4 linked regions of the Lytechinus pictus genome follow. Each later gene encodes a partner of the first gene's protein in a complex. Links are inferred from orthologs where the notes say so. Each region holds a gene or a part of one and is shown in the gene's direction. Other genes may lie near its edges. The genes, in order: ruvB-like 1, inhibitor of growth protein 3-like, p53 and DNA damage-regulated protein 1-like and enhancer of polycomb homolog 1-like.

Evidence for each region.
Region 2: ruvB-like 1 (region 1) and inhibitor of growth protein 3-like share a complex: the UniProt entries of both Homo sapiens proteins name them as parts of the SWR1-like complex. The link is inferred for Lytechinus pictus from reciprocal best matches to the Homo sapiens genes RUVBL1 and ING3.
Region 3: ruvB-like 1 (region 1) and p53 and DNA damage-regulated protein 1-like share a complex: the UniProt entries of both Homo sapiens proteins name them as parts of the PAQosome complex. The link is inferred for Lytechinus pictus from reciprocal best matches to the Homo sapiens genes RUVBL1 and PDRG1.
Region 4: ruvB-like 1 (region 1) and enhancer of polycomb homolog 1-like share a complex: the UniProt entries of both Homo sapiens proteins name them as parts of the nuA4-related complex. The link is inferred for Lytechinus pictus from reciprocal best matches to the Homo sapiens genes RUVBL1 and EPC1.

The regions. Positions count from the first base shown.
Region 1 is NC_087247.1:4,838,332-4,846,642, reverse strand, and holds the start of ruvB-like 1, read left to right. Parts: upstream 1-4,551; 5' UTR 4,552-4,711; coding exon 4,712-4,855; intron 4,856-7,334; coding exon 7,335-7,554; intron 7,555-8,311. UniProt on the Homo sapiens protein: Possesses single-stranded DNA-stimulated ATPase and ATP-dependent DNA helicase (3' to 5') activity; hexamerization is thought to be critical for ATP hydrolysis and adjacent subunits in the ring-like structure contribute to the ATPase activity.
Region 2 is NC_087247.1:64,846,016-64,854,715, forward strand, and holds the start of inhibitor of growth protein 3-like, read left to right. Parts: upstream 1-5,034; 5' UTR 5,035-5,102; coding exon 5,103-5,130; intron 5,131-8,700. UniProt on the Homo sapiens protein: Component of the NuA4 histone acetyltransferase (HAT) complex which is involved in transcriptional activation of select genes principally by acetylation of nucleosomal histones H4 and H2A.
Region 3 is NC_087246.1:64,627,309-64,635,461, reverse strand, and holds the start of p53 and DNA damage-regulated protein 1-like, read left to right. Parts: upstream 1-4,667; 5' UTR 4,668-5,064; coding exon 5,065-5,154; intron 5,155-6,369; coding exon 6,370-6,457; intron 6,458-7,225; coding exon 7,226-7,303; intron 7,304-7,926; coding exon 7,927-8,007; intron 8,008-8,153. UniProt on the Homo sapiens protein: May play a role in chaperone-mediated protein folding.
Region 4 is NC_087247.1:14,834,750-14,843,084, forward strand, and holds the start of enhancer of polycomb homolog 1-like, read left to right. Parts: upstream 1-4,681; 5' UTR 4,682-4,987; coding exon 4,988-5,140; intron 5,141-7,964; coding exon 7,965-8,121; intron 8,122-8,335. UniProt on the Homo sapiens protein: Component of the NuA4 histone acetyltransferase (HAT) complex, a multiprotein complex involved in transcriptional activation of select genes principally by acetylation of nucleosomal histones H4 and H2A.

The DNA.
Region 1 (8,311 bases):
GGAGCCATTTGATTTAAAAAAAATATGCTCTTATAATATAGACCCTAATTTCATTGATTTGTGTCCCCTAAATGTGCATGCGCCGGATCAAGCTAATGTTTTTCTTGTTGCCCGAGTAGGGCTCTATATACCCATGAGGTTACCTCGATCACCTGGTTGCCCTGGCTATACTGTCGGGATATCCCTCCGGGGCCTTTGAACAATACTAACTGCTTTATATAGCTCTTAACCTGCAATTTTATTGATTTACGCCCCCTAAATGTGCATGCACCATGGTCAAGCTAGTGTTTTTTCAAGTCAAGTTCTACCCGTAATAGGCTATACCCGGTTGCCCCGGCTATAGGCCGTCGGGATCTGTGGAGTGTGGACCCCTTTAAAAATGCATTTTTCCCAACTCACCATGCCTTAATTAGGCTACATTATTTTTTATGCCCTTTCATCATATCGAAAACTTGTATGCAGTGTACCGGACATGTAAAAACATAGCAGACGACGTTTGCAGACCTCGCGATCATCGTATGACTAGTGGTGCGGACAGGGCCGTAGCTAGAGGGGGGGGGGGGGTATGGGGGGTGTGACACCCCCCCCCCCCAACATTCATGGCAGTCGGCAAAATCATGTACCAGTTGGCAAAATGGAGGATAGGGGAGAAAAAGAAAGAGGGAAAGAAAGAAAGAGAAAAAAGAAAGAAGGAGAGAGGGGGAGAGAAAGAAAAAGAAAGAAAGAAAGAGAGAGAGAGAGAGAGAGAGAGAGGAGGAAAGAAAGAAAGAAATAAAGAAAAAAAAGGAAAGAAAAATAGGGGTACTAACTTCGAAGAAGGTTACGACGTTTAGAGTAAAGACAACCAGTTGGCAAATCCAAGTCCATGTAGTCAGGCTTAGAGCCCTATAGTCAGAAAAATACAAAGGACAAAACAGATGGAGCTATAATAACACACAAAGTAAGCCCCGGTCCTCCCCCAATATAAACAAGCTTGTGAGTTTGCAAATTATACCACAATTATTGACGATTTAACAAACACATTAGTTTTGTAAAATCAGAGGCAAGACTAGGTAAATAAATATGGGGTAGGATGAATTTCCAAGGTTTAAGTTGAATAATCAAAGCCAAAGTATAGTTGGCAAATTATAAAGTGGGCCTATTAAAGTGGCAGAACACTACACGCTCTACCAGTCAGCAAAGTGATGTACAAGTACTGCCCCGTTTCAGATCTGAAAAGAACAGAACACAAGACTTAAAAAACTGGTAACTCTTCAGTTGGCAAATTCATGAAGACAGGTCTACAACTTGTAGACTTGTCTACAAGTTTGCAGTTGGCAAAAACACAAAAATATTCTAAGTTATTTTTACTAAATTCTGTCGCCGAAGATTTTTTATTTATTTATGGTGTCAGAATGTGCTTGGGGTGGGGATGGGTGGGAGAGGGGGCAGGTTGGGGTTGCATCATTCCTGGTGCTCGCATTGTCTGACTAATGAGATATATAGTCCTGTTGTATTTTAAGTCCATGAAGATTATGCACCAAATTATCCCCTCGCACTTCAAGTTATTATTGTTTTATGTAGTGACATATGCTTTTTTCATGACTATATACTTAAAGTGATTGCCCCCTTTTAAGGCCTTAATAAAACATTTCCAGTCTCTGCTTACGTTCGCATTGGTGTGGACCGATATAGATACCGGGCTGGTGTTAAATCAACACCGGCGTTTTTGCAGTGCACGAATTCCTAAAGACAGTCCTTAAAATGTCCCTTTTTCTGATCTAATTACAACAAATTTTCAGCTCGCGCTTCGCGCTCGCACCCCTTAATTTGTGAAATAGTAAATTCCTACAAACAAGCCATAGAATGCCCCTCTTCAGGTCTAAATTTTAAACATTGTCAGCTCGCGCTTCTCGCCCGCAACATTTCATTATTTAGTGAAATACGTATCATGTTCATGATTACAATTATGACCACAAAAAGTGCTTCATGTACCAGAGTAATTTTAACAGAATCAGCAAGCGCTTGGCGCTCGCATTAGATGACTATGATGAGATACGTACGCACTTCATAAATTCCAAAAGATAGTCCTTAAAATGTCCCTTTTTAGGGTTAAGTTATACAAAAAAATTCAGCTCGCGCTTCGCGCTCGCATTGTTTGTTTTGTGAGACAGGTACGTATCATGATTACAAAACTTTGCTTATAATGTCCCTTTTTAGGACTGAATACATTTTCAGCTCGCGCTTCGCGCTCGCATTATTTGATCACTTAGATACATATCCGTTTAATGGCACAGTCCTTAAAATGTCTCTATTAGGTCAGTAAACATGGTAATTGAGCGCGCTTCGCGCGCCCACTTAATGACTCAAAAATTTTGCTGGTGCCCCCCCCCCCCCCCCATGCCGTGACCCAGGGTACGCCACTGTTAGCAGTAGCGCTCTTGAAATTTTAGTTGAGACATCTTGCACAGAAGGTCAATTAAAAATTAACAAATCTTTGATTTTGATATTATTAATGCATATAGGGTATATCATTATACTGCAAGTTAGCAACTACGGCACACTATAGCCTTTCTATTTTGATCCAAAATGTTTATTTTTATCTTTGTATAATTTACCTTAAAGTATTCACCAAATGCCACTAATTCAATTCTAAAAATTCAAAATCTTTTAGCATGTGATTATTGTAGGGGGGCACATCCCCCATCAGACTCCCCCTGTGCTCACGTTGGCGCTGTCACGCCAAATTTAGTTGGCAAATTTAGCTGGTACACCCCCCCCCAACAAAATGCTTCTGGCTACGGCCCTGGGTGCGGAATGTTCCATTGCGGCTTTAATTATGGGGGAAATAGCATCACGGAGGGATAAAATGTATACACAGATAATGTTTCAGCGTTGATTCGCAATATTTTGAGTCAATTTTAATGAATTATCGTTGTTTGAACATTTAAACATCATTATAAAATGAAAGAAATAAGCAAAACTTAATTTTCAGACTTAGCTATGCAGTGGTAAGCTAGGATGCACCCCTCGTATACATAATGGACCCGTCACGAGTGTAGGTTTGCTCTTCGGACATCACTATCACAAAGAAAATCTCCTCTGATTTGATGATAAAAGTGCCCTATTTCCTCATCTGATAGAAGAAGTTGTTACCATTCATTTCAGGGGGGCGGAAATTCTATCTGAATCAACGCTTGTCCTTGATACACATTTGTTTGTGAAAAAAGGGTATAATGCAAGGGAATTCTGCGTGTTATAAGGGTGCGCGCGTGCAGCGAGGACCTTCTGTCCGCTAGTTTTCCATATGTAATTGATTGCGCCCCCAAAATGTACATGCATCGGGTCGGGTCATGTCCGTGTTTTCCTGGTGTTCCGAGTCAATTTCTATTTTTAGCTTAGTTGTTTGCCCCGACTAGGCCGTCAGGCTATCCCTCGGGGCCCCAACCCCCCCCCCCCCCTAAAAAAATGAAATCAATAGAATTTAAAAAAAAATAAGCACATTAGATCTATGCCCTTTTAATGTTCTTGGGCGGTATTCTGAGGTAATTTTATCTTTAAAATATTTTATTTTATCTCTTAAAATGAAATTGGTATTCTGAGATGACATTTTATCTCTCAGATAAAATTTTGAATTTTATCTTGCATATAAATTTTATCTTGCGTATCTACAGATGATACGCAACAGAGGAGTGCCTGCGTAGACATACCCATCGCGTATCTGGCCATGCAACGCGGATGATGTGCTTGCGCCCATGTTACTTTGAAGAAAAAATAAAATAAACTTAAAAGAGGGTAGGGGCTGTTTTATCTCTGCGACGTTGCTTTTATCATTATTTCTTGGTGAATTAACTACAAATGTTGACATGAAAATTAAGAAAAATTATATATTTATTGAGAATAATACCTTAATGTTATTCCTGTACAATCAGGAAGTATTTCATAAAACTTTTCTTGACTAATATTGTCTTTGAAATGATGCTTGAAAAGATGTGATATAGACTTCGAAAAAAGATGAGAGTATTGTCATTTTTTTTAAAGAAATCTCTGTAAAGACGCGCAAGCGTATTTTGCAAGCGTATTTGAAGTCAATAAATTGACGCAATATCACTCCTTTGCCACACCTCCTGGCGGAATGGATTTTCATTGGTTGAGTGATATGAGAGAGCTATAAAAGCGCATTTTTAATTGGATATTGATTAAAAAATAGGTGTGTCTTACAGAGATAAAATGAAGATAAAATTGTTCTCAGAATACTAATTCGGAGAGATTTTAAGGGTATTTTATCTCACTGATTTTAACGGAGATAAAATATTTTATTTTATCTGAGATAAAATGGATCTCAGAATACCACCCCTTGTTTTTAAAGCTTTTTAGCCTTTATTCAGATCATAATATTACATACAGCAATATAACAAAGGAAAATAATAAACATCGTGATAAAAATTTTCAAACAAAAATTATCTTAACCCAAAGCAGTTAATTGAGCTGCACCCATAGAGATGTATACTACTACTAGTATACATCTCTATGGCTGCACCACAGCTGCTGGTGTTGCTGCCCTCTTCGTTCGTTACTCAGACAATTCACTGAGACCCCATGCGTTGATGTTGATGTTAGATACAACTTGCCGGGACAATTTGGTTAAGATCCACAGCAAATCTATCGTTTAAGCCCGGATTCTAAGAAAATAAATCAAATCAAGTTATAGACTCAAGTTGTAGGAGCAACTATGAAGATCGAGGAGGTAAAAAGTACAACGAAGACTCAAAGAATAGCGAGTCATACTCACGTGAAGGGCCTTGGACTTGATGACTCTGGAAATGCATCATCAAAAACAACTGCAGGTCTGATTGGTCAAGAAATGGCCAGAGAGGTTGGTAGATCGAAACATTAGATCGAAATAACGTTAGGCTAGCCAGGAGGCTCCTAGAGAGTAAAAATCATTTACTAATATATGCTTACCCTCCACGGAGCCAGGGATTCCTTCCCATTCATGTACGCGTGCCACCAAAAAACCAGAAACTTTCGCCCCAAGATTTCTACTTTCTAAATTTTCTAGCCATAAATCATGTATGTAGAGAGTACGGCCTACGGGATACAACTTCATTACCGACATTTCTACGCTATCGATTTCATTTTTAAACAAGAATTCATTAAGAAAACAAGAAAAGTATTGTGTAAAGACAGGGGAAACTTGCCGAGATGTTTACGCCGCCATCTTGTTTCTCGTTGTTTCTCTTCGCCAACGTTACCTTTAGGCCTATACCTTTATAGGCTAGGCCTATACCTTTATACCGCATCTACTGGAAAAATACAGTTGTTCCTGCAGCTGCAGTCAAGTTTCCAGGTCTATCTCGTTGTCTTCCTAGCTTGGATAAGTTCGAAAACTGAGTCTGTGCTATTTGTGCAATGTGCTGTGCCAATTAATGTATTGGAATGAAATAGGCACTATTCCCATGCGTGAACATAATGCCACGCAGACCAGAACTTGTCTAACTTTGTCTTGAAGCCATTGATTGTTGATGCTGTGATTACCTCAGTAGGCAAAGAGTTCCAGTCATTAACCACTCTAACACTGAAGGGGTTTTGTCTCACTGCCAGTCTACGCATGCATGCGTCTGTAACGTTGGCGAAGAACAATGCCAATGCATCCGTTACGTTGGCGAAGAACAATGTCTGAGAAACAAGATGGCGGCGTAATGCGTCCAAAATTTTGTCCGCTGACTTTAAAAATAAAAGTGGAATATTATAGGGAATAGGGGTCTAAAGACTAAGTAGTGCACTCACACTAACGTTAGTACAGTGCGAGGTCATATACTTATCTCGCACCAAGAACCGTGTTTGGCAGTGGATTTCTTACTGGCTGGTCACAACACACGACTTCTAAAGTTCTAGCCTTGATTTTTCTGTGAGTTGCGGCATGTAATGAACCCTTGAGTGGTCTAAGTGTTAACCACTTTTAAGTTACATGTAGTAACATCACATGTACATCTTTGGTTTTGCAAGATTAACTTAAATTTGTTGTCTTGATTTCAATTGCTCTTAGTAGATATGAAGGGTTTATTCATGTTTAGATGATACAAAGTTTATAAGTCTTTTTCTTTTGAGTCACATAAATAAAACTGTCAGTGTCACAAAAAAGAATCATCAATCATTTGTACATGTTTCAATGAAAGTGATTTGAAAAACAATAGTGATTTAAATCGCAATTTAAATCAACGTGATCTAAATCGGCCTACCCTGTAATAAGAAGCAAGACATAGTCCAGCGGGTCGTGTGGTCTAGTGGTTAGAGCATTGGACTCATAATCGCAAGGTTGTGACATGTGCACAACAACAAGGTTGTGAGTTTGAATCCTCACTCTGCTATTGTCTCCACTTTGATAAAAAGGCCCAAGAGTAATATCTGTCGTCTATAGGGTCAGCCACTATGACTGAATAACCTAGACGTAAAATGTTTCCTAGGTAATTGGTTATATACCAGCTTGGCGTTTACCAGCAAAAATTATGTTTGTACTAAAGTCTGTTTTACTTTTAATTTATCTTGCTCAATAACTTAAAGGAGAATGAAACCCTTGAAACCAGCTGAATCCATATCAAAGAGAAAAATGAAAGAAACATATTGTTGAAAGTTTGAGGAAGATTGAATGAATAATAAGAAAGTTATGAGCATTTGAATATTGAGATCACTAATGCCATGTAGACCCTCCCATTGGCAATGCGACCAAGATCTGTGATGTCACACACGTACAACTCCCTCATTACTTTCGTACTTATTTCACTTATATTCTCACTTTTATAGAGTCTATTAGAAGGTGAGGTGTTCTCTTTATGAGAGGACAAGTAAAGAGGTTTCACAACATTATATCATTGATGAATCGTTTGTCATATGATTAGAATGAGCAAAAAGAGATGTTTTGGGGTATATTTTCAGCGTCCAAAAGGGGAGAGTTGTTCATCTGTGACATCATAGATCTTGGTTGCATTGCCAATGGGAGGATCTCCATAGCATTAGTGACCTCGACATTCAAATGCTCATAACTCTTCTATTGCTAGTCCTATTTTACTCAAACTTTTGTTGATCTTATTCTTTGATTTTTCTGCTTTCACAAAAGCTAACTTGCTCCAAGAGTTTCATTCTCCTTTAAGTGATGGAATTGGCAAGTAAAGAGGAAAGAGGGCTTAGAAAATCAGAAATTTCCCTGGAACTATTTTAGTCACTCTATAAGAAAAGAATGGTTCACAAATTGACACACTCATCTGACACACTCATCTTAATAGACTGCATTCTAAGTCTCCACCTTTGCACAGGGTCTACATTTTGCATATTGATATTAACTTGTTTTTTTACAGGCTGCTGGTGTAGTTGTAGAGTTGATACGCTCCAAGAAGATGGCTGGCCGAGCCATCCTGCTAGCAGGGCCTCCTGGGACAGGAAAGACGGCTCTAGCCCTTGCCATCGCCCAGGAGCTTGGCAACAAGGTACCCTTCTGCCCCATGGTTGGAAGCGAGGTCTTCTCATCAGAGATTAAAAAGACAGAGGTGCTGATGGAGAACTTCAGAAGGGCAATAGGTAAATAGATAAATCCCAAATGTGACAAATTTGTTGTTTAGATTTTTGGTTTTCTCTATTGGGATCAACTTTGGGAACGGAAATAGAACTAATAATAATAATAATAATAGGCTTTTATAAAGCGCCATCTATCTAGAAATATTCTATTCCGAGGCGCATTGTTATTATTATTATAACTAGCAAGATGTAGGGGAGACCGGGGTTAGTTGGAACATGGGGTAAGTTGAAACATTGTAATTTTCTTTAACGTCTTTAAATAAATTTCTGCAATACTGCCCTCAAGTTATTGTCATTATCAACGGCCATCCACCATATTACAGGCAACACATGTGCAACAAGCCTGGTGAAGTTAGAAACAAATTTTTGTTTTTTGACCTTCTGAGTAAATTTTTTCTCGTTCAGAAATGTTTGATTATCTCAGAGAAGTTTACAGATCAAGTTGGCCAGTTTAGGGGTATAATAGACACTTATACCAAGCTACAAAATGAGGTTATTAATATGCCATGGTGAAGTCCCTTTTTTGTGCTGTAAGCTTATAAACGTCAAATGAGCCTCCGGGGTTAGTTGGAACAAAATTGAAGGGGCTAGTTGGAACATGTTCCAACTTACCCCAAACATAATTATGAATGAAAATATTGGATATGAGAAAAAAAAAAAGTATTTCACACTCTTCTGAACATGTATTGTATACCATGCTTGTTTTGTTTATCAGTTAGGTCTGAGTGTGCATCTAAGGCCTATTGTAGGCACCTAATGC
Region 2 (8,700 bases), about 60 Mb from region 1:
AATTTCAGATTATACCAGTATGAAACTGGTCTTAATTTACCTCCAACTATTATATCCGAGACCTTAACTATACCTTTCTGAAATAATTCAATATCAAAAAAGGTCTTATTATTAAGGCATAGACGCTTGTTATTAAAAATAATGGGATTACTTTTCCCTCCAAAATGTCTTCACTTATCCAATTCGTGCCATGCCTTCAGCATATCTATGTAAAATAATGGTATACCTTTTAAATTCATTCTACTCGTATCATAATCACACAGAAATATGATTCGACCACCTAAAGAGCTAAAAAAATATTCGAAGGTTGCTTTCCAACCCGAACTTTTCCCTCCATCTAGCAAACGTTTAATCCACATTATTCGTTGGGTCTTAACAAAGACCTCAAAAAAATTTGGAGCTCTCAGTCCTCCAACAGAATAGTCTTGATATAGAACTAAACCTTGCGTTTTATTCTATCTCTTCCTCCCCAAATAAAATTAAAAGAAATTCTTTCTATTTCCTTAAAAACGTCTTTTGGGACTGTCATCAGGGAAGAAACATAATTTAATTTTGAAAATGCATACATTTTCAAAAGTTTTATTTTACCATACATCGTAAGATCTCTCTGCTTCCACCAACCAATAAGTCTTTTAATTTTACTCAAGATTTCCTTATAGTTCAAGTCATCTTTGACTTTACAATCCCGTGCGAAATATACCCCTAAGATTTTAATATGTTGTAACCAATGTCCAAGAAGTGGTAAACCAGGTCTATCTCTTTCTTCTCCCAACCATAAAAAGTTTGTTTTATCCATATTAATCTTCAATCCACTTAAATTTTCAAAATCTGAGAATATTTTCTTTACTCTATGGATCGAGTTCATATCTTTTAAAAACAATGTAATGTCGTCTGCATACAGAACTTGTTTTATTTCCCGTTTCCCAAATCCTATCCCTTTAATATTAACATCTCTCCTAATATAATGAGCCACTGGCGTAAATCCCGGGGGGGATGGGGGGGATATATCCCCCCCACTTTTCGAGGAGGGGGGGGGATGGCCTGTACAAACATCCCCCCCCCCACTTTTTGCGAAATAAATAAAAAAAAAATCACAAGAGATAATTGTTTTATTGGTGAAAATTCTTCCTAAAATACCGCTTAACAAATAAAACAATATTATTGAATCATAAAATGCAAATAAAGAGCCAGTTCACCATTTCCAAACGAAATACTTATGTCCTTATTATAACATTGAAGAGAAACCCCCGTTTCTTCCAATTCATCAATGTTGGGGTCTTTGGGAAGGGATTAAGATGGAATGTCAATTTTTTTTAAATGTAACCTCTAATAAAACCATTAAACCATCATGGGGTAAAAAAGATAATAATATTGGAGGGGTATTTGCCATATGGACATACAGTGGCGTAACTACGGGGGGCATGGGGGGCACATCCCCCCCCCCCCCATCGGCTGACCCCAAAAAAAAACGGGGAAAGGGGAAAAGGAAAAAGAGGGAGAAAGGAAGAGAAACGTAGTGGGAAAGAAGAAAATATTATTCATTATAATGTTATATTATATTATAATTATGTTATGTTACATTACATAAGAAACATATTTATCATAACTTTATGAAACATAATTTGCCCAGGGCCTACGTCTTCATTGTTCCTGGTGCTCGCATTGTCTGTTTAACGTGATATATAATCCTGTTGTACTAAAACATCCCGTTTTCAAGTCAATATAAACCAAATATATTTCCTAGCACTTGAGTTATCATTGTTTTATGTAGTGACATATGCTTCTTTTTCACGACTCAAAAAGTGATTGCCCAATGTTAAGGTCTTCGTTTATATGAAACATTTCCTGTCCGTGATTACGTTCGCATTAGTGGATTGGTGAGATATGTCTGCTTTTCATAAATTCCTAAAATCAGTCCTTAAAATGTCCCTTCTAATCTGAATATCAAACATTTTCAGCTCGCGCTTTGCGCTCGCATCATTTGGTTAATGGAATACGTATGGTCCTAGTTAATTCTTACAAAAAAACCTTAGAATGCCCCACTTCAGGTCTGAATTATCTAAATTTTCAGCTCGCGCTTCGCGCTCGCATTGTTTAGCGAGACAGGTACCTATCATGTTTACACAAATTTGATTATAATGTCCCTTTTTAGGTGTGAATATAAAAAAATTTCAGCTCGCGCTTCGCGCTCGCATTATTTGATCAGTGAGATACATATCAGTTTAATGACATTGTCCTTAAAAATGTCTCTATTAGGTCAGTATAACTGGCAACTGAGCGCGCTCACTAGCGCACTCACTCAGTGATTCAATTTTTTTGCTGGTGCCCCCCCCCCCATGCCGTGACCCACGGTACGCCACTGTGGACATATCAATGGCAATTCCTTGCATATCTAAAAACATGATTGCAAAAAAAATGCCAAAATATTTCAGTCATCCCCCCCACCCATCAACACGGATTTACGCCAGTGTAATGAGCTAATAATTCAATCGCTATGATAAATAAATATGGAGAGAGTGGATCCCCCTGCCTTACTCCTCTATTAACTTCAAAATATCCCGTAGAATGCCCCCCGTTCAACACGCAACTACTAACATTATAATAAAGAGTTTTGACCCAAGAACACAGATTTTTCCCAAACCCGAAATGTTCTAAAGTTTTGAATAAAAGTTTATGAGAGATACAATCGAACGCCTTTTCAAAATCCACTGCAATTAAAAAACCTAAGGGTTGATACAAAGACTGAAAAAACATATCATCAATTAACCGAACTGCTTCCCCAATATTACGATCTTTGACATAACCCACTTGATCACAATGAATAATATCTCCCAAGACCTCTTTCACCCTTGTCGCTAACACTTTTGACAAAATTTTATAATCTACATTCAAAAGAGTTATCGGCCTATATTATAGTTTTTCATGTGCAAAGGATTTTTGCCTTCTTTTTCAATTAGAGTAATTACCCCCTGTCTCTGCGAATTTGACAACATTTTAACTTCAAAACTCTCATTGAAAGCTTCAACTATGATTTTCCCTAAAAGTGGCCAAAATGTAAAGTAAAACTCTGCGGTAAAACCATCATTGCCAGGCGATTTATTCCATTTCATTTCCTTTAAAGCCTGAAAACATTCTTCATGTGTTATCGGATATTCACAAAACTCTCTATTTTCTTTACTCAATTTGGGTAAATCACTAAAAAACATGTTTTCAATATCATCATTAGTTTCAAGATTTTTACATGCATATAAATTTTTATAAAACTCCCGAATGATTTGTATAATACCTTTGCAATCTCGCACCGTTTCCTCATTTTTATTATAAATCTTCTTAATCGCACTAATTCTCCTTTTATTGGATTCAAGTAATTGTTCAAAGAACTGTGAATTTCTTAGTCCTTCCTCAAACCATTGGGCTCTTGAACGGACCTTTAGACCTTGACGAGAATAGTCGAAAAGTTTATCTAGTTCCTCTTTTTTAAATTCAATTTCGTTTTGGATATCAATATGAAAAGTGATCGTCAAGCGATATTCTAAATCTTTAATTTCTTTTTGTAATTTTTCAATGTGAATTTTTCTGAGTTTTGCTCTTTCACGGGAAAATGCCATTATATATTCTCTTAACTTCATTTTCATAAATTCCCAAAATTTAATCTTGCTTGTTATTTGGTCCCGCCATATTCTTTCTATTTCAGAAATCTTCATCTTTACTCCGTCTACAAAATCTTTATCAGAGCATAAACTGCTGTTAAACTTCCAGTACGATCTCCCATATGCAAAACTTTCGACTAAATTATCAAACTCGACCTGAACTAGCATGGTCAGGAGTGATTGAGGGTAAAATGTTTGAACTTTTCACGTCTTTTTCTAATTTCGAGGAGATAAAAATATAATCCAATCTGCTCTGAACGAAGGGATTATTTTGTTTGAAGGTAAATTCTTTCTTTGTTAGGATGCCGCTTCCGCCACACATCAATTAGATTTAGCCTATCAAGAAAATCCACCAATGAATCTTTATATCTATTCTTCGAAATATTACTTCCACCCATGTAGTCTAAGTTTCGATTCATAGCAATATTAAAATCTCCTCCAACAATAAGAGAATATTCTTGACCAACTACAGAAGATAAAACTTTGTCTAAATCAGACAGAAAATTACATTGTGAGTTTTCTTTATGTGGGAAAGTATACACTGCCCAATATAATCTTTTCACCTTGACACTTTCCTTTAATTATAACATATCGTCCTTCTTTATCAATGATAATTTTTTCTTTGAGAAAATCAACCTTTGATTTAAACATTATGATAACTCCCCTACTGTGGTTACTTCCATGACTGAAAAACATTTCCCCCTTCCAATCAGCCTTCCATCCACCTTCAGTGTCTTTTGTGCTGAAAGTTTCCTGCAAAAATATTATATCCCCCATCATCTGACACCACTGAAATATTTTATTCCTTTTGATTCTATCTCTCAACCCTCTGACATTGACCGAAAGTAATTTTAAGTTACCCGACATCAATTAACACAAAAAGTCTAAACCTCTGACAAAAAATTTGGAACAAAAATATGAATGATAATATTACTGCAAATTGGTAGCTTGATTTATTTAAAATGACAAAATAACCTATTAAACTAAACTGGAGATGAGATAAATACAGACAGACACCAGAACTGGAAAACATAACACCCAACATATCATTCCCCTTCACCCCAACAAACATAACACATACACTTCTGCAAACATACTCAAACACATTCCCATAGACTGTCCCTACTATGAAACCCAAAGAAGAAAGACTTTTCTTCATGTCCTAAAAACAAATGCAAATTATGAATAGACCTATTTTGAGGCCTCTCCCATCCCTCCTGTGATTTGAAAACTAAAATTAAAGATTCAAAGTTATTTTCACAAAATTTATCACTCCCTCCTAAGAAAACAACTAAATTACCTCACTGATCCCAGTGTTTATACTGAATATAACAACTACCTACCGGCCGTCAACATGGTCAAAAACGCCATCTGCCGTTCCAATATTACAGTAATAAGTTGAGTATTCTCCGAAGTCCAATCGCTCGGTGATTCCCTGGAAAATATTCGAAGATGTTGTATTTGGAAGATTACCTTGAGAGTGAGTAAATTGTTATAATTCACACTTCTAACTTTAACTATAAGTTTCGATGTACAAAAAGTAACGTACAGCTTATAATATCGGTAATAAATGGGAAAGATCATTTTGCGGGAATTTTAAATGTGTGCGTACGGTGCGGTACCGGTACCCAGTTGTTGTGTGTCCGGACGATCAATTTTAGAAAGTCATTTGGAAAAATTTACAAGCGAAGTTTCATCAATTTTTAGTACAAAATGTTAGGAAATATTATAGAGAACAAAATAGAAGATGATTACAACTATTGAATTCATATTTTTAGTGTAATCCAAAGACAAAAAGAAGGCTTCAAAAATATAAAGTGTCCGGACACCCGACCCCCCATCCTACCGTATCTACTGTTATGGGATAGAAAGGGGTGCTCGTATTCGGTCAATCCTTTGAACGTATGCCCACAGCTTTCCATTGAGAGAATGTACAATTAATGGCAGAGTATTTCCGGTCACAATATTTTGCATGCTGTAAAGGTCAAGTCCACCCTAGACAAATGTTGATTGGAACCAATTAATAGAGGGATTTTCAGTTAACTTATAATGTGGTATGTGGTGAAAGTTTAGTATGTATATTATGTGGATTGTGGTTTGTAAATTGTATTTGGCGGAACAACCAAAATACAGAGACTGAAGCTTTTGGTCTAGTAGGCCTAGTATAGTAGTAATTAGTATGGGGCTAGACCAAAAGCTTCAGTCTCTGTATTTTGGTTGTTCCACAGAACTGCGTTGGCTCACTCACCAATAGTTACATAGACTGAAAAGCTTGGACTAGTTGGAGGCCCGTACGTACAGACAACTTATTAATATTAGCAGTAACGTTAGATCTAACATTCGGCGGAAACCCGATTTTCCGATCGCTTTTTTGTACATAAAATGTCACATTATGAAAAAGAAATCACATCCATATTTACGAAAAAATGTATAAAATTAAGAAATATCGTACCTTAGACCGCAGTTACCGCTAATTCTAGGCACTTCAGGTGAAAATTAGGAAAGGCTGTTCCAGCATATTTGATGGGCTCACAATGAGGCTCAATATCTACGATTCACAAAACTGTTTGAATTTTCAAATTCCGATATCTAGAAGTCGAGTTATTGTCATCTTTGTGATGAAAAAACAGGCCTTTTTGTGGACAAAAGAAGATTGCGAAATCTTATTATTCTCTTTGTTTTGGGCATGGCACATTTATAATACATAGCTTATGGGGAATTGTACAAGCTTTTTATTTAAATCTTAAAGTACTCAGATTGATTTGACATATTGGCATATGATTTCTTTGGTTCAAGGGCAACTACCCCTGGACGATAACCCCCCACCCCCCACCCTCGGACAATTCCCCTCCCCCCACCCCCACCCACCCTGGACAATTACCCCCCCCCCTCCGGACAACTACACTGTACCCCTATCCAAAAATCTACACCTAACCTAACCCTATTTCGGGGGTAATTGCCCTGTGGTAGGTTTGTGCACAGGGTAAACATGACTTGATATTGATTTTCTTTGCTTGCCTTGAACATTAGAAATTAAGTTTTCAATGAATATAATTTGTAATCAAAGAAAGAGAATTAAAATAATAATCTTAGGATTTCTAGAAAAAAATAAAAAGAGATTGATTTCAATTGTCTATTATCTCATTGTCTTGTTATTATGGTCTCAATAAAATTGTTGATATTATTATTGTCTCATCATCGTTTCATTATTGTCCCAATAAGTATTATAATTATGATAATTATTATTATGATAATTATTTTTGTTTCATTAATATTATTTTCTGAATAATTATTACAATTATAATTACTATCATAGTAATTATTGTTATAATTATTTCATAATAATAATTATTATTGAAATAATAATTATTATTGTCTCAATAATTATAAGGCCTATAATTATAATTATGATTATTTTTATGATTATAATTATAATTATAATAATTTTTATAATAATAATTATTGATGACTTATCAATATTACTGTCTCAGTAATTATTACAAGTACAATTATTTTCATTATAATTGTTATCATTATAATTATTCTATAATTATTATTATTGTAATAATAGTTATTTGTCTCAATAATTATAAGGCCTTTAATTATAATTATGATTATTTTTATAATCATAATAATTTTTATAATAATAATTATTGATGACCTTTCAATATTACTGTCTCAGTAATTATTACAATTATAATTACTTTCATTATAATTGTTATCATTATAATTATTTTATAATAATTAGTATTATTGTAATAATAGTTATTATTGTCTCATTAATTATAAGGCCTATAATTATAATTACTATAATTATAATTGTTTCTACAATTATATTTATTTTAATTATAAGTATTATTATTATGATGATTATTATTGATATATCATTAATATTATTGTCTCAGTAATTATTACAATTCAAAGTACATCGTTATAATTGTATAGCATACTAACCTCGCAATACGTGTGAGTGTCCTGAACCGGATGCCACATGAGTCCATCCATCCTATATTCATCTCTTCTCTTCTTCCTTTCTTTCCTTCCTTCTTTTTACCCTTTTCTTTCCTTCATTCTTTGTTACTTTCTTTGTTTCTTTCTTTCTTCCTTCCATCCATCCATCATTTTTTTACCCTTTCTTTTTTTTTTTTTTTATTTCTTCCTTCTTTAAGCCCTCTCTCTCTTAAATTAATTCCTTCCTTTCGTCTATCTGTCTTGTTCTTTCCTTTTTCCCTTTGTTAAATCTATCCTTTTACCTTCCTTTTTTTTTCTACTGCTGGCTTCCTTTCTCTCCTTTATTCTTTCATTCCTTCCTTTCTTTGTCTCTCAGTCCTTCTTTTTTCTCCCTTTCATCTTTTCTTTTTTTATATTGCTTGCTTCTTTCCTTCCCTTCCTTTATTTCTTTCCTTCTGTCTATCATTTTACCTTTCCTTTATTTCTTCCTTAATTCCTTTCTTCCGTCTTTCAATCCTTCCTTCCTCTCTTTCTTTCTTTTGTCCTTCTTTCCATCTCTCCTTTTACCCTTTCCTTTTTATTGCTTCTTTCTTTCCTTTACTACTTTCTGGATTTGTTCTTTCTTTCTGTATTGCTTGCTTCATTTCTTTCCTTCATTTCTTTTTTCTTTTCTTTCTTTCTTATTTTTGTTCCTTCTTTACTCCTTCCTTCCTTTCCTTCTTTAGTTCTTTCTTTTTTTCCCTTCCTTATATATGACAAAAGGCAGCATTCATGAAAACAAAATATTAGGCTCAGTGTCACAGACTGAGGTCAGTCTCAATTGCTTGAGGATAGCTGGATGTAATAACTCCTAGAATCTGCATGTCATTCAAGCTATTTTTAGAAGTTAGTTAATGATGAAAGTTTAGCTCTTGTTTTGGTATATTTTTCTGAGAATTAACGGTATGCCACATAATATTAGGATAAGATGAAGCTAGATCTGGCAACATACTCAGATCACAATCTGTATCATTTGTGTTTGAACAATACAATTGATTATCTTAGGTATTTGCACTGACAATTTGGAGCATGATAAAATCCCAACTTGTGAATTCATGAG
Region 3 (8,153 bases), on another chromosome or scaffold:
AGAATGTTTCTTTGATAAAGGAGGGATGAAATATTTGTCAAATAGGATTTGTCTATGTGCCCCTTCAGGAGTGAGAAAAAAGGGAATTGATGAACAAAGAACAAAATATTTTGCACAACAAAAAAGAGTCAACTTCAGTGACAAAAATGTGCAGATTAAAAGAAAGTGTTATACTTCACTAAGGGCACCGTTTAGTTTTGAAAGAAAAAATAAACAGCACATTTTTTTCCTTAGGGGGGCAATTCCCCCCCCCCCCCCATTCCACTGCCCCTGTAGAAAGGAAAGGGTGCTGATTGCAATGACCTTACATAATGAAAATTCAAGGTGAACAAAAACAAACTGGAAAAGAAAAGGGCTTTTATCTAGTAAATTAAGGACACAAATGGGGCTCTTAATCAAAGGGGCACGTATACTGCAGACTCAGAGACTCCAACACTCCCGCTTTCGGCGGGAGATCTCCCGCCGAAAGCCCTTTTTCGCAAAATCTCCCGTTCTCCCGATTGAGATTTTATATCTCCCGCCCAGGCCCTGTGTCTCCCGCATAGGATGTATTTTCTCCCGCCTTAAATGATCTTTCTCCCGCCCAAACACCTTTTTGAAAACCGGAATTAAACTTTCATATCCAAGCCGATATTCAAGTTAAGACTAAAGTAGAGCGTCAACGCTGCGCGCGATCTCGCCCATCGCTATGGCGTTTGGAGCAATCTTACTCCAGAGATCATCAAGTCATTGAGACAAGATGGATGGAAATGTCAACTTTAAGGCCGTGAGGTAGTATGTCTTCACTGGTTGATACGGATAAAGGTACCGTATCACAAAAACGTATGATTTTGTAGATGCTTATCAATTTTATATGCATGCATAAAAGTTTTATTAAGTTTTATCAAGCCAAAATGTATGATTTGATTCATTCAATTGTTAATTACTTGGTACCCTCCTAAGTCGTACAGATGGGTGGGGGGCAAAAAAGTCATGAGGGTGAAATGTGATATTATCATTTTTTAATGTGTCGAAATCTATAACAAAATTGGATTTCTGAAATAAAACATCAAAATTTTCGCTCGCTCGCAACTGTTTATCAATTTTACGCGATATGCCATATCTAGCCCCTTCGAAATTTTTAGCTCATTACGCTACTGATGCCATCATATTAAATAAATAGCCTGATATAGCATAAGAGAGCATTTAGAACCCTTTGAGTGGGCCCATGCAGGACCCCGCCGCAAGGGACTTCGCGCTCGTGATGTGCGCAAAAAACATCAAATTAGAGTCTCCAGGCGGGAGAATCTCCAGATCGGAAGGTGTTTGGGGTTGGAGTCTCTGCAGACTAGATAATTCACTATGATCAACTGAAATAAAGGGCCGGGCAATACTTTTGAAAGTGATTAAACATGCGCTTGCAGAAGGATCAAAGGAAAATGGTTGCTGATCGGGGCATGGCAGAGTGGCTTTGAGAAGGGTAACGAGAATGAACATCTCAAAGTCGTAGGCAAAGTTCCCAAGATGAAAAAGTAGACTGGATATTTTCTTGGGTAAAAATTTTAAGGGGCACTCTCGAGCTTACACAATAGGCCTAAGGGGTGGTGCCGTACGTGCCCGGCCTGCTCCCAAGGAATGCCGCCCCCCCCCCCCAGCAATATACCCCTTTCTTTCTTTCTTTTACATGATAAGGCTTACTCTCAGAAATTTTGCTCGAAACATATTTCATACTCTCCCGGGTTACTGTACTCATCATTAGCATTTTGGGAACATATATAGTGATATTGAAACTTGGTCTGAAAAATGAAGGCTTTCTAAATTCTCTGAGTCAAGCACCTCTAGGGCTTGATGATTAATGAGTACAAATTTGGGAATTAATGGGTTTTTTTTTTTGGGGGGGGGGGGTGAGATGGTCTCAATCGAAAAGGTATATAGGCTTCTCTACATAAGAAATGACATTGCATTTAATATAAGAGAAGACTTGACTCCAAGAAATATTGAATCATTGTGGATCAATATTCTATTGCCTCGGACAAAGCCCATTACACTTGGTGCTCTTTACAGACCCCCTAAAGATAATAATTTAATTGAATCACTCTCTGACACTTTAGAAAAATTTAAAAAAGATGATGAGATTATAGTGTTGGGGGACATGAATATTTGCCTTTCGAAAAAGTCTCCTTTATCCCAGAAATATGAGAATTTACTTAATCTAAGTGGTTTAAGCCAACTTGTAAAGCTGCCCACACGTACAACTCAGACATCTTCCTCCCTGATAGATCACATATTATGTAGTAAAGAAGAGCATATTAGTCAAAGTGGTGTTATTGACCTAGGTATAAGTGATCATTTATTGATTTATTGTTCAAGAAAGATTGTCAGGCCCGTATTTGGGCACCACAGAACTGTGTCCATCAGGAGCTTAAAAGGTTATAATGTAGATGATTTCAACTTAAATTTATCCCGATCAGACTGGTCCAAGGTAACTGAATGTAAAGATGTAAATATGGCTTGGGCAAATTTTAAATCTATATTCTTGTCAATTATAGATATGAGCGCACCTCTGAAAGAGGTAAGAATTAAGCAATCAACTGAAAAATGGATGAACCATGAAATTATTGTTTTAATTAAAGAGAGAAATGTAGCTTACAAAAATGATGAACTAAATAGGTTGAAAATATCAAAAAGTACTGGTTTAGATATGATACCTGCAAGATTTTTAAAAGATGGGGCAAGAAATTTGTACAAACCTTTGAATTATGTTATTAATTTATCTCTTATGTCTTCTACCTTTCCTGATGATATGAAATTCGCAAAAGTTACCCCGCTACATAAAAAGAAAGATAAAACTGACGTTAGTAATTATAGGCCAATAAGTGTATTAAGTGTAGGCCCTAGTGTCGAAGATTTTGGAAAAATCTGTTCATGCTCAAGTGGAGAAATACTTCCAAGAAACCAACCTAATATATAAATTTCAGTCCGGCTTTCGTAACGGATATTCCACTGAAACTTGTTTAATACATTTAACAGATTTTATCAGGAATGAAATTTCACATGGGCGCATGGTTGGAATGGTTCTCCTAGACTTACAAAAAGCCTTTGATACTGTGAATCATAGCATACTTTTAAAGAAATTAGAAGTGATGGGTTTAGACTCTGCATGTGTGACATGGTTTAGATCATATTTATCTAACCGTCATCAGGTAGTTACCATGCAGACGGTTCTTTCTGATTCACTGCCTATTAAATGCGGAGTCCCTCAAGGAAGCATTTTAGGCCCCATTCTTTTTATGTATTACATCAATGATATGTGTACTTGTATTAACGAATCTAAATTAATTTTATATGCTGATGATAGCGTCTTGCTATATTCGGATACAAATCCCAAGATAATTGATAAAAAACTTAGTGCTGATTTGGCTAATTGCATCGAATGGATGTCTGACAACAAGCTTAGTTTACACGTTGGGAAAACGGAAAGCATTTTATTTTGTTCTAAACGAAAGTTAAGATATACACACGATTTCAAGGTTTCATATAATAATCAGGTAATTGAAAGAAAAGATTCAGTAAGATATTTGGGAATTAATTTAACAAGTAACCTATCATGGACGGGTCTGGTAGACTCAATCGCCAAAATGGCTAATTCACGCTTGAAATTTTTGTATATATAGATATCAAACCTGTTTGAATATGAAGTCTAGACGTATTTTATGCTTTGCGTTAATACAATGTTTATTCGACTATGCTAATGCGGCTTGGTACGGTAGTCTGGGTGTTACGGATAAGAAAAAGCTAAGAATAATTCAAAATAAAATTGTGAGATATATAAATGTTTTAGGACCAAGAGCACATGTCGGATATAATGAACTTGAAAAGGCAGGATTGCTTCATGTAGATCACAGGTCACAACAATTAGTATTACACCACGTGCATAAAATATTCTATTCGGATAAATTAGATCATTATATAGCAAATAATTTCACCTGGGTATCAAATATCCATAGGTATACGATACTCGAAATAGTAATTTTAATTTCGTATTACCAAAACGTGAAGGACATATTGTAAACACTTTTTATTTTAATGGCATCCAATCTTGGAATGCTCTTCCTGATAACATAAAAGCCGTTAAATTCTTTTGTCAATTTAAGAGTGCATTAAAAAATCACCTAAAACTGGAAACTGCCCGAGAACAGCATTACCAGTAAAATAACACATTTTGTACAGTTGGTTTCTAGTATAGATAATGTATACTAGTACATTAGGGTGTGTTGAAATATAATCTTGTTTCACATATTAGGAAGATTATTGTTTGCTTCAGATGTTTTCAAATTATATGACTGATGGATATGTTTGTATGTATTTTATTTTTTCCCCCCAATATTCCAGTACTTGTCGTAGTTTATATTTTTTGTTACAATATGTTAATGTTTTATACTAACTATAGGACCCCATTGGAAATAAGCCTTTCGGCTTTCATGGGCTATCAGTGTCAAGGTATTTCCTCAATTTCATTGTAATCTCCTGTGATATTCTTGACGAATAAAATCAATCAATCAATCAAGCATAAACCCGTGCAAAATGGACATTTTGCAAAGGGGATCAGCTAGCGAGGCTTTCATCTTTTTTTTCTCTCTGTCAAAGTTTGTGTTACAATTAGACCTTGTCATCGGCAAATACACACTACAGTGGGCCGGGGAGCTAGCTAGGGGAACCCCCTCCATTTCGGGGCTAAAAAAATGTTCACAAAATTCTCCAGAGACATCAATTTGAAGGGGCTGAGTTTTGGATTATGCGGGATCACACGTGAATTGGAATAGTCGAATTTGAAAACTTGTAAGTGGGCCCAGCAAAAAGTAAACAAAATAGAAATAGGCCTAATGAAAAATTATATTAATAAATCTTTGAAACAAAGTAGAAAAAAGGAAGCAAAACGTGATTCTTCCATTGAAGCCATATACGGTATGAATAAATGCAGCTAGCTAGCTGCAGCGCGCCGCATGCGGTAGTATAGTAGTGTGTGAGAGATGTCGCCTCGGCGAAATCAGCTAGGCCAAGACCAAGTCAACCGTTTCATGCAAAATGTCCAGATCCAGAGATACGAACTTCGTCTTAACGCATCTTGGTGAATTAGAGGCACTTGCAGAAGAAATTCTCACCGAAAAACAGCAGGTATGTTTGTTTTAAACTAGTTTTTTAAGGATGCACTGTTGACAAATTTGCTCGGTCATTGACATGGCAAGTGGCAGTGCGGCTTTGCCAGGAGGCTCCTAACGTAATACTAATAGAGGGTTACGGTACGTGTGACTTGTGAATAAGATAAGCAAAATATTCGCCCAAATTTGTAGTCGTTGTCTTAATGTAAAGTCAATGGAATACAAAACTAATTTTGTGACCATTTTGAACCCAAGTCTTCAACAGGCTCTAAGTCTAACTTCTTTGTTTTTGAGCCCTTTGAAGTAATTTAGGTATCCATGGAAAGGTGAATTGAAAGAAAGCTCAATTGATGTGTAACTGTAATCATGTCTCTTTGTAATTTTCCTTCGTAATTTGTGTGAAATAATTTTTTATAATTTTAATTAATTACGCAAAATAACAATCACTCGCCTCTTTTTTTTGCAAAATGAAGGTGATTATGATAGATAATTTATATCAAAATTAGTTGGCATCAAAACAGCTTCATGTAGATAATTTCCTAAATGAATTTGTTTAAAGTATTGTTTTTGTAATTTCTAATGTATTTCGTTGTTTTTCTGATATAAATTACAAGCTCTTTTTCAACTTTAGTATTGTATACATGTATGTACGGGGGTCTTTTTTTACATATGAAAATTATCATTCCTTTTGGACTTTGTATGACCAAATAAAAATACAAGTGTGCTATTTTCTGATGTATTTGATTGTTTCACCAATTCCTTATGTATTCTATTGTTTCAACAATTTGTTATACATGTATGATATGTAGCTTTTGATTTTATAGAGACAATGGACATTTGATTACAATTTTTTTCGGAGGGATGATCATGTTGTCGCATATCTTTTACTAGAATCTTGCAGATACCTGTGTGCACAGACTTAGGGGACCTTACCATACATAAAAAAAAACTGAAAATTTATTATGAGAATATCAGATGTATTGTAACTTACCGATGTTTACGTCGCCATCTTGTCCTCTTCATTAGTAGCTAAGCTACGACATGCATATAGAGGGGGCATGATGTTAAACCCTGGGTTTAACACTATACCCCACCCAAAACCTAACCCTAAACCCAATGGCAGTGAATAGATAGACCTAGATCAATAGCATTTTGATGATTCAGGCTCCTGGTATAGCAATAAATAGGCCTACTTGTTCACATTGCTTGTGTCCATTTTGTTTTTACTTAGATTGTAGATCTTGATCGAAAGAGAAACCAAAGCAGAGAAGCAGTTCGAGCACTCAAAAACCAGACAGAATCTCAGAAGAGTAAAAAGGGTATGTAAATAATGAAATTTCCAACTCCAGAGAAATTTTTACAGAATAAAAAAGCTGAAGCATTAATTGTGAATAATTGTGTTTCATTTAGAGTTCCCTACATTAAATGTAAATTATTTCATAAATTTCCATAACAAGTATTGAGTATTAAATGCTTACATTTTGAACATTCTATGGTCTTAAAGGATTTTCACATTTTGGTTTTAATTAAAGGTAAGTCCAAATGTTGAACAACTGTTTACATGTAAGCATTTTTGTTGGGGGGGGGGGGGGGTAAGCAATGGATATTAATGTGAATCAAACCATTGATGTAAACCTTATATTTCAAGTACCTTCTCTGGACTTTGAAAAAAAAAAGAAGAATTGTTGGGCATTACATGAGAGTTCAGTCAATAATAAAAAGCAAGTGAATACGGAATATGAAAGTTAGTTGTTAGCATGTGCCATCCAGTGGAGAATAGTACATGTACACAAGATATAAATTTTGCTTTTTTTTTTCAAAGTGAACATTTTCTTTATGCAAAATATCATATTTTTTTGGAAAATTTTATGCATAGTTGTCTGACTGAGGGCTCCTACATAACATATGTGTAGAATTGTTGCATTTTTAGCATTATTACATCTGTCTGTAAATACTTATTTCTTTTTCATATTATTGAATCTGCACACAATCTTGATAATTCTAAGATCGGCTCCTCTAGCCCTTATGCGAATAACACTGGTTACACCTGACTGATTTACTTATGTCCCTTTTATTTCTTCATGTAGAAGTCAAAACATGGGTCAGCTTCGGGAACACTTTCATCAAATTTCCAGCCAAGAATGTCAAGACGATGCTGACCGATGGTGAGTTGCCTGAAAACTGTTTACTTCTTTGAACATATTGATCCTGAATGACTGCATCAATGTTCATCATGCTACCCCTTCAAACAAAATATTCAATTATTTTCTTCCTTTTTTTTGTTGAGGCATTATTTAGGGCATTTTGCCGTTTTCACAGCCGTCAGACACATTAAAAAATAGGGCAAAATGCAGATTCTCCTTGCGTGAAGTATCTGAATATTCAGGATTACATGTAGGCTATTATGAAATCCAGGCAAAGTGAGGACAGAATTGAGGACCGTCCTCTTTGTACTTTGAATACAGTTAGTCAGTTGACTATCAGATATGACTCGTACATCACTCTAATGAATGGATCTGCTAGGGATCATAATGATGTTATTAGGTTGTATTGCTGAGCATCTGTGCTTGATTTCAGCAAGTAAACATTTCTCATTGCACTAAGCATAGTGAATTTGAAGTTCTGTCAGACCATTCCATTCCCACATATTCACATTTCTTTTGTGATCAGGCTTTGAAGAAGTATAGAGATTTGCTTTTATTGCACCAAGAGCTGTTACAGGACATTCTGTCTGTCAACTTCAATCTAAATGTTCCCATTTTGTTTGTGTATATACAACACCTTACAGATCAGAAGAAGCTGGACGAAGAGATCAATGATCTGAGGAATGGATTAAAGCCAAAGGTTGCCAAACTTAGAGAAATGGAAGGTACTGTAAAAATCCTCAATCATGTCTGCTTTCAAGCCTTCCATTAATTGGCTTTCTGCGTGGGTAAACATTCTCTAATACTATGTTATCATTATGGGGACTATAAAGTGAAATGTTTACCTCAAATAGTTGGTGATTTCATGTAC
Region 4 (8,335 bases), about 10 Mb from region 1:
TCACACACGTACAACTCCCTCATTACTTTAGTACTTATTTCACTTATATTCTCACTTTTATAGTGTCTATGACAAGGTGAGGTTTTCTCTTTATGAGAGGACAAGTACAGAGGTTTCACAACATTATATCATTGATGAATCGTTTGTCATATGATTAGAACGAGCAAAAAGAGATGTTTTGGGTATATTTTCAGTGTCCAAAAGGGGAGAGTTGTTCATCTGTGACATCATAGATCTTGGTCGCATTGCCAATGGGAGGATCTCCATAGCATTAGTGATCTCGACATTCAAATGCTCATAACTCTTCTATTGCTAGTCCTATTTTACTCAAACTTTTGTTGATCTTATTCTTTGATTTTTCTGCTTTCACAAAAGCTAACTTGCTCCAAGAGTTTCATTCTCCTTTAAAGAATGGAAATGGTTTAGGCGTTTTACCCCCCCCCCCCTTCACAGGCTTTTGCAATGGAATCCAGCAAAATCATACAGGTATATGATACAGGTAAAGCTAGGAAAGTAACCCCCAAAATTGTAGGATTGTTCAAATTATTATGGAAAATTTTTCAAACCTCCATTTCAATATTTTTCTTCCTAAAGTGACCCCCGAAAATATACTTGCCCCCCCAAAAAAAAAGAAAATTAAAAATAACAAGTATGTGCATGCATAGGGGTGGGGGCTACCAAAACACCAGTGTTGCTCTTTTTTATTTTTATTCTTACTTTTACCCAAAAAAAGGGTTCGCTTCCTCTTGCCTCTCTGTTTTTTTTATTCTAAAAAAGCAAATATTATAGGCTACCATTGAATGGGGAATGAAACACTTGGAACAAGTTAGCTTGTGTGATCTGAAAGGAACAAAATAATCAATGAAAGTTTGAAAGACAAAATTAATGATATTTAGAAGCATTTGACTACAGAGATCACTCGATGTGGACATTCTCGCATTGGCAATACAACCAACATGTTGCCACACACAACCCCTATAAAGCTTTCTGCAGATATTTTACTTGAATTATCTTTATTTTCCAAGAAGATCCATAGACGAGGTGGTTTTGTTTCATGGGAGGACATTTTAATGAAGGTTTCATAAAATGTATCGTGGGCAAAGATTGTTGCTATCATTAAGATAATGAAAAAAAAAAATGTTTGGGTATATTTTAAATGTATAAAGGGGTGAGTTGTACTCCGGCCGGGGCGGATCCAGAATTTTCCAAAAGGGGGGGGGGCACATTTTCCTTGTGAAAATTTGACAAGCAAGCAAAAAAAAAAGGTCCTCACTTTCAAAAGGAAAACGGTATATTAAGTTAAAACCGTATATTAACATTACAAATTTTGATTATGGCTCTCAATGGGGGGGGGGGGGGGGGGGGGGGGCACGGGCCGGCTGTGCCCCCCCCCCCTGGATCCGCCACTGGTTGTACTTTTGTAATATCACAAATCCTTGATCACATTACCAATGAGTGTCTATCCATAGCATTAGCATTGAGAGTAACACTCATTGCATTCGTGATTCAGCATTCTAATGCTCATTGTTAGTCTATTGTTCTCAAACTAATAATATCTTCTTCATTGTGTTCCTACGTGTTAAAACGTGCTTAAAATGTTCCCTTTCGGGTCAGTATATCACACTCCCATCATTGAGATAATTTGAACAGTAGTTCTTTATTTAAAAACGTCCTAATTTACAGCTTTCAGATTGGAATATAAAATGTTTCATCTTTGCGCCTGTGTCATTTATTGAGCAAGATATACCCACCCTTTTCATGTTTATAAAAAGTGAATGGAATGTCCCTAAAAAATCACCTCACGCATTAATTCTTTACTGGATATCTTGTTCTTTATGAAAAAAATAAAAGGTTATTACATTGTCAATATTTACAGATAGGAATAATTATCAACAATTTTCTGCTCGCGCTTCAAAGCTCATGCACATAGTGTTATTTTAGATATCCATTCTGTTAAAAAAATGCTTAGAATCTCCCGTTTAAGGTCTAAATCGCAAAAAATCAGCTCGCGCTTCGCGCTGCCACAAATTATAAATTTTTGATATTCCGACCTAAAATTTGATATGCACATTTAACTGTCCAAGTTTAGGTCGGAATATCAAAAATTTAACCTCGCCCTTCGCGCTCTTATCAATTGTTTAGATAGCCATCTTGGTCATGGTTACAAAAAGTACTTAGAATGACAAGTTTCCAGTGAAAATGATAATTTTCAGCTCTCGCTTCGCGCTCTCATTGGTTGGTGAGATGTGTATCCTCCTCGATCGTGAGCCTCTGCAAACACTAAGTCCGAAACAGGTCCCTTGACTCCCTTATCATGTCATATTACCAATTTTGGCACGCGCTTTGCGTTCACATTATTTATACTTTATGAGACACCTTATCTTGTTCTTAATAATAAAGTTAAAAATGTAACTGCAGCAGCCTTTATCTTTTAGCGGCCGATCTGGGAAAGATGGATTACAATAATAAATTGTCTTCCGCCCCTAGCCTCACTCCCTCCTATTGGCGAAAGTTAGATCCGTCCCTGGAAGTAACAGAACTAAACATGAGTTCGGGCCTGATCATTGAAAGTAGAAAGGTCCACTTTTTACAATTCAGACCCCCCCCCCAAAAAAAAAAAAAACTGGCTACGGGATATACCCATCTAATATTGTATCATCTCCTACTCTATAAGTATCTTCTGCTTTGTATCTTTGTACAAATAATTTTTTATTAAAAAATGTTTGAAAAAAGAAGGAAGACAATTAGAGGTGGATATTTGTTGTGCGTTATGTGTTCTTTATTTTGTGATGATAAAGATGAAGAGAGGAGAAAATGGTGGTAAGAATGACGACAGTGTTCAGATTTTCACATCAGTGCCATGGGAAGAGCGCCCCCACTTTTTAACTTGTTAAGCAAACGATACTGAACCCCTTTTGAACATGCATATACTTCAATTTAGGGCAAATCAGTTCACATGGAAAATCATTTAATTGACATCCACAAACACACAAAATGATCGAATGGCAACAATTATCCTCATTTTATTGGAAAGGGTATAGTCCTTGCAAATGAAAGAAATGAAGATATTAATTGATATAGGCATTAAAAAAAAGTGAAGACGATTATTTTTCCACTGATATAATAATAATAACGCAGTTCTTGTATTTTTTTTTTAGCGCATATCACATGTAATAACGTCCCTATGCGCCTCCGAAGGACTTGGATATTATTCCCCTGGCTTTAGCCCCGCAGCTTTATACAGCGCGATGGCATTTCATGGATTAAATTTCTGCCAGGTACCCATCTCACCTCGGTTGAGTGCAGCACAACGTGGACGAATTCCTTGCTGAAGGAAATTACGCCCCGATTACGCCATGGCTGGGATTCTAACCCACGACCCTCTGTTTCAAAGTCAGAAGACTAATCCACTGGGCCACAACGCTCCACATATTGATATTGCCATATCCCATCAAAGGCAATTCACTTTAAAATTGAAAAAAAATTATCGAGCTAGATCATAGTGTTAAAGGACGGACTCCATCCCAACGAAAAGTTTATTTTAATAAAAAGAGAAAAATTCAATAAGCACAACACTGAAAATTTCATCAAAATCGAATGTGAAATAAAAAAGTTATACATATATCTTTCGCTAAATTTCACAAAACATGCACATCCTGGTATAACCTTTATAATTATCATTATCCTTTATGTTTGTTTGCGATGGACAGGGCGGGGGGGGGGGGGTAGGCTGCATGGCTAGATTTGATTCTCCAGAAAAAAAAATTGAGACGATCAGAGGCCCGTTGCAGAAACTTTTTGCAATCAAACGCAACTCTAAATATCTTACGCAACTGTTAAAACAAATATTTATGTTTTTATTTTAAATCTTATCATAAAAAAATATGCAACTCGACCAATTATCAAAAGCGTGATGGGCTCAATCATGACTACTCCCGGATTTTTTTTAGACAACCTGCCTGGTTGTCATATTTTATGTTTTCATCTTGGCCTTGATATTTTTATAAATAATCGCTGAAGTCATTTTCGAGTTATTGGTTCAATCATAATAGTAGCCATAGGCGGCGGAAGCGGGGGGGGGGGGGGGGGACGTGTCCCCCTAAATTTGAGGTGGGGGGACGATCCCCCCTAAATTTCTTGTTGATGACCTTTTTTTTTTGTTTTTTTTTTGCTTGTCAATTTTGTTTCCTGCGTCCCCCCTAAAATTTTTGGCTTCCGCCGCCAATGATAGTAGCCAAGATAATAACATAACATGACTTTTGTTTTAAACTTGAGCTAAATGGTTTTTAGGCTGCCTTCCCCTACTCCGTAAAGTTTACCAGGAAAATATTACTAATAGCCTATAGGGCCTATATTTCGATGATTTGTTCTCACCAAAAGCAAAAAAAAAACAAAAACAAGTAGGCAGTCCAAAATTCGGCAAATTGGAGAATGAGCAGAAAAACTGTAAATATTGTTTAAAAATGGAAATATTCAGCTGTTGATAATCTTAATATCTTTGATCTTATAACATTAAATTTTGCTAGAGTCTCGAAAAGACTGGTAAAAACAGTCAAATTTGCTCTTATTCAGTTAAAGCAAATTGCACTATTAAGTTTACAAGCGGTCTAATCCTGAAGTGTACACCGTTCACTACTACTGAAGCCATCAGCTGTTTTTAAATGGTTTAGGCCGAATGCACACACACAATTCCCGGGTTCCGCCGTGGGAACACAACACGTTATGAGATGCGCGCGCAGACGTGATCAATCCAGAGGAATTCTGGGAAGGTTGCGAATTTTTTGTCCGCCATGTTGTTATGTATAAAGGCGGAAAATTTACCGTTATTTTGCCTTCATTTGTGATTTTTAGCACATTTCTCCAGATTCTATCTGAATGAGAGGACGGATGATACCACTATTTCTGACTTCAGCTCGGTGATTTTGGCCTATTTGGCCTATAGAGGCACATTCTGGCATTTTTAAGGGATCGTTGACACTCCGTCATCATGAGCAAGCTAAGTTTTCGAGCTCGGGCTCCCGATCCCGCGAAGCCGATGCCCATCTACACAACAGATGAGCTTCCAGATTTGCCTGATTTTTCCACTACCAATCGGGCAGTTCCTCAAATGCCCACAGGAATGGAAAAAGAAGAAGAATCGGTAGGTTTTTGTTTCATGCAAATTAGTCCGTTGGTCTTGCATATATAATGAGGTTACCCGGATCTGGCGGCCATTTTGAAATCACGCCCTTTTTGGCGGGACCGACGTTTTTTGCGAGACGAATAATTCATATTGTTTTGCGACATTTATTGGTTTGTTTTCAATGAGATATCTATTCACGGTTATTTATTAGATGCTTTCATTATTCAAATTAAGAAATATGTGAACTGAAGTAAGTTGATTCGATTTAGAATTCGATTTTTGAAAGTTTTTTCCTCTGTGAAATGTTGACTTCACCCATTTTGAGAATGGACGGTCCCGCATGCGTCACATGCTAATAATTAGGTCACCGTATTATTTTTAAACCAAATTGAGTTATTTTTTATTAATTTTTTATTTAAACATGTATGAGCTGTTTAATGATGATGATTTTTTTTTCAGCTGTACAAAAAGAAGAAATTTTAAGGTTATGATACACTTGTGATATTTATTCTCCACTGCATGCTCATGAATTATTCATAAGTGGATGATGAATGGTGGACAAGTCCATTATGTGTAGATAGGGTTAGACTTAGAGGGAAAATTTCTGTGTTGTGCAATAAACTCTGACATGTGCACGATGAATGTAAACATGATTTCACTATTAAAATGTACATTTATTTGTTTACATGAAATGATGAGTTGACCTTAATTTGAATTATTGATTCTGAATTTTTTAATGAAACCAACTTGGCCTTTTTTTCCCCTGAAATTAGAAGTCTACATGTACACAGTCACAGTAGATTTACCAAAGAAGTTCATAAGAACAAATTAAGAGCAGAAATGTTATTGACAGGCTGACAAAATCTTAGAATATGACCAATACACAGAATACAGATATTTATTATTTTGTTTGTGCAACTTTTTTTTTTTTAATGTTTAGACATGTGTCCTCCTTTTCCCAATTTTCACATGTCAGATTTTTTTTTTTACAATATTAAACAAATATAGGGGTCTAATGATAATAATTATATGATATTAATAGTAATAATAATGATAATAATTATGATAATAATGATTATAATTTAATAATGATAATGTAATTTATAATATTGATGATGATGATATTAATAACAATGATAATATTTTAATAACAATAATGATAATATTAATAACAAATAATATAAATAACAATAATGTGGTAGGCACTCATTCAATGAACAAGGTTATGATATAACATTGTTCTCTGTTACTATTTATCCCCTGTGTGGAGAAATAAGGTTGGCAATGTTTGGCTTATTTTCTCTTGTTCTTGTGATTTTTTACACTGTCAATTTCCATTACAACTATTCATCGTATAACTTGGCTTGAAGTAAATTGAATTCTTTTGATTATTTTTTCCATATTAAAAATGAAGAATGTAAATGTTTTCTTGCAATTTTACTCTCCACCAATAGAGGGCCTACACAAAAGTATGCCCAAAATTCAAGTTTTTATGCTCTCTGGTGAATGAAAAAATGATCCCTAAGCTATATGAATTAAATTAAATTGCAGATGTATGGAAATGAGTATATTTGGTTACAAAAGTGGTATTTTAATGATTTTTTTTTAATGTGTGTTGTATACTGCATAGATCCACTTGTAGGCCTATACATGTAGATTCCCACAGGCAGGGTGGTTGTAGTGAACAAGTGATGGTAGGGTCTACATGTAGTTATGTTTATTTTATGCGCTTTGACCAAAAATTCTTTTTTTCCTTAAGTTGTGAATTATTAACTTGGGGATCTTTTTTTTTATTCAGAGTGCACAAAAAATGTGATTTTGAGCATTTTTGTGTAGGCCCTCTATTGATTGAGAGTCATTTGCCCAGTTTGCCAATAGCTAAGTTTTTTTTAAGTTTTAAAAAAGATTTAAACTGATAAAAAACCTCATAATTTGACATTTTTAAAATCAACATTTCACAAAATCCCACAAACGTCCAGACTATAAAAATATTATTAGTTTAATTTGTGATGCTACATGTATGTGTCAGAACTGCGGCCAAATGCAACAGGTCGTGTAATTTCAAATCATATTTCAAGATATATTGCAACTTTTATATTTGCTGTTCCCTGTAAAAGTGAGCAATGTGTCTGCTCATATTATCCCACCAGAGGCAGCGTAGAGTAATTCGGGAGTAATTACTACAAAAGCATTTTTCCTTTTGTAATTCACCTATAAGTTTGACTTTAGGAATCTTTGGTCTACAATCTGCAAGAAATATGCAATGAAACACATGTGTAACATATTTTTACCATTGCGGCATCAAAGTGGCAATAAAGAGAAAGTGTTGGATGGTTCCCCTTGTCTTAAAACTCCTTGACTCAACCCAGGTGAGGTACATGTAAATGGGTACCTGCAGGCAGTAATTCCTCAAAAAGTTGTGAGCACCGAAAAAAAAGAATACCAGCTTAGCCAGGGTAATATAGGAGCACCTTGAGCACCTAACATGGTGGATACATGTGCTAGATACAAGTTACGTATTATTTATTTATTATTCATAATGCTGAAAATTTCATTGAAATTCAAATATGTGAAATATAGTCTTGAAGTTTGGCTTGGTTTTTTACAAAACATTAAGAGAGGGAACCTATGACACCCATTCAAATCATAAATGCTTTATACCGGTATCATACATGTATTCAATTCTATGTGTGAGTTGTAGCATCAATGATGAAGAGAAAGTGCCAGTGTCTCCTTCAGGAGTCGCTCTAGCTTTGGATTAATTTTTGTCCTGCATCAGAATTTTATCAAGTTTAAGGTTTTTTTTTTATAAATTAATTTCAAAATTTGATTAATTCAACAGGAGCATCATTTGCAAAGGGCTATTTCAGCACAGCAAGTGTATGGCTCAGCAAATCATCTGGTTATTCCAACCCCTGAGGTTCTCTCCAACCAGGAACTGTATGAAAATCTGTATGATGCAAGCTGCAAACAAAACAGACAGTACATTCATGTGCAGCGTGAGTACAATAATTCTTTCGTGACTTCCCTTTTGCCTTCTTTCTCTACTTTTTATCTTGAATTTTCCTGTTGACATTTTTTGTGCTGTATGTGTATCAGATTAAGTTCCGTTGAAGTTTGTGTGGGGGGTGTAGGGACAGTGATTTTCCGTTTAAAAAAATTGCCTTTTCCGTTTCAGAAAATCTCAAATTCCGTTTCAGCATGTCAGAAAAC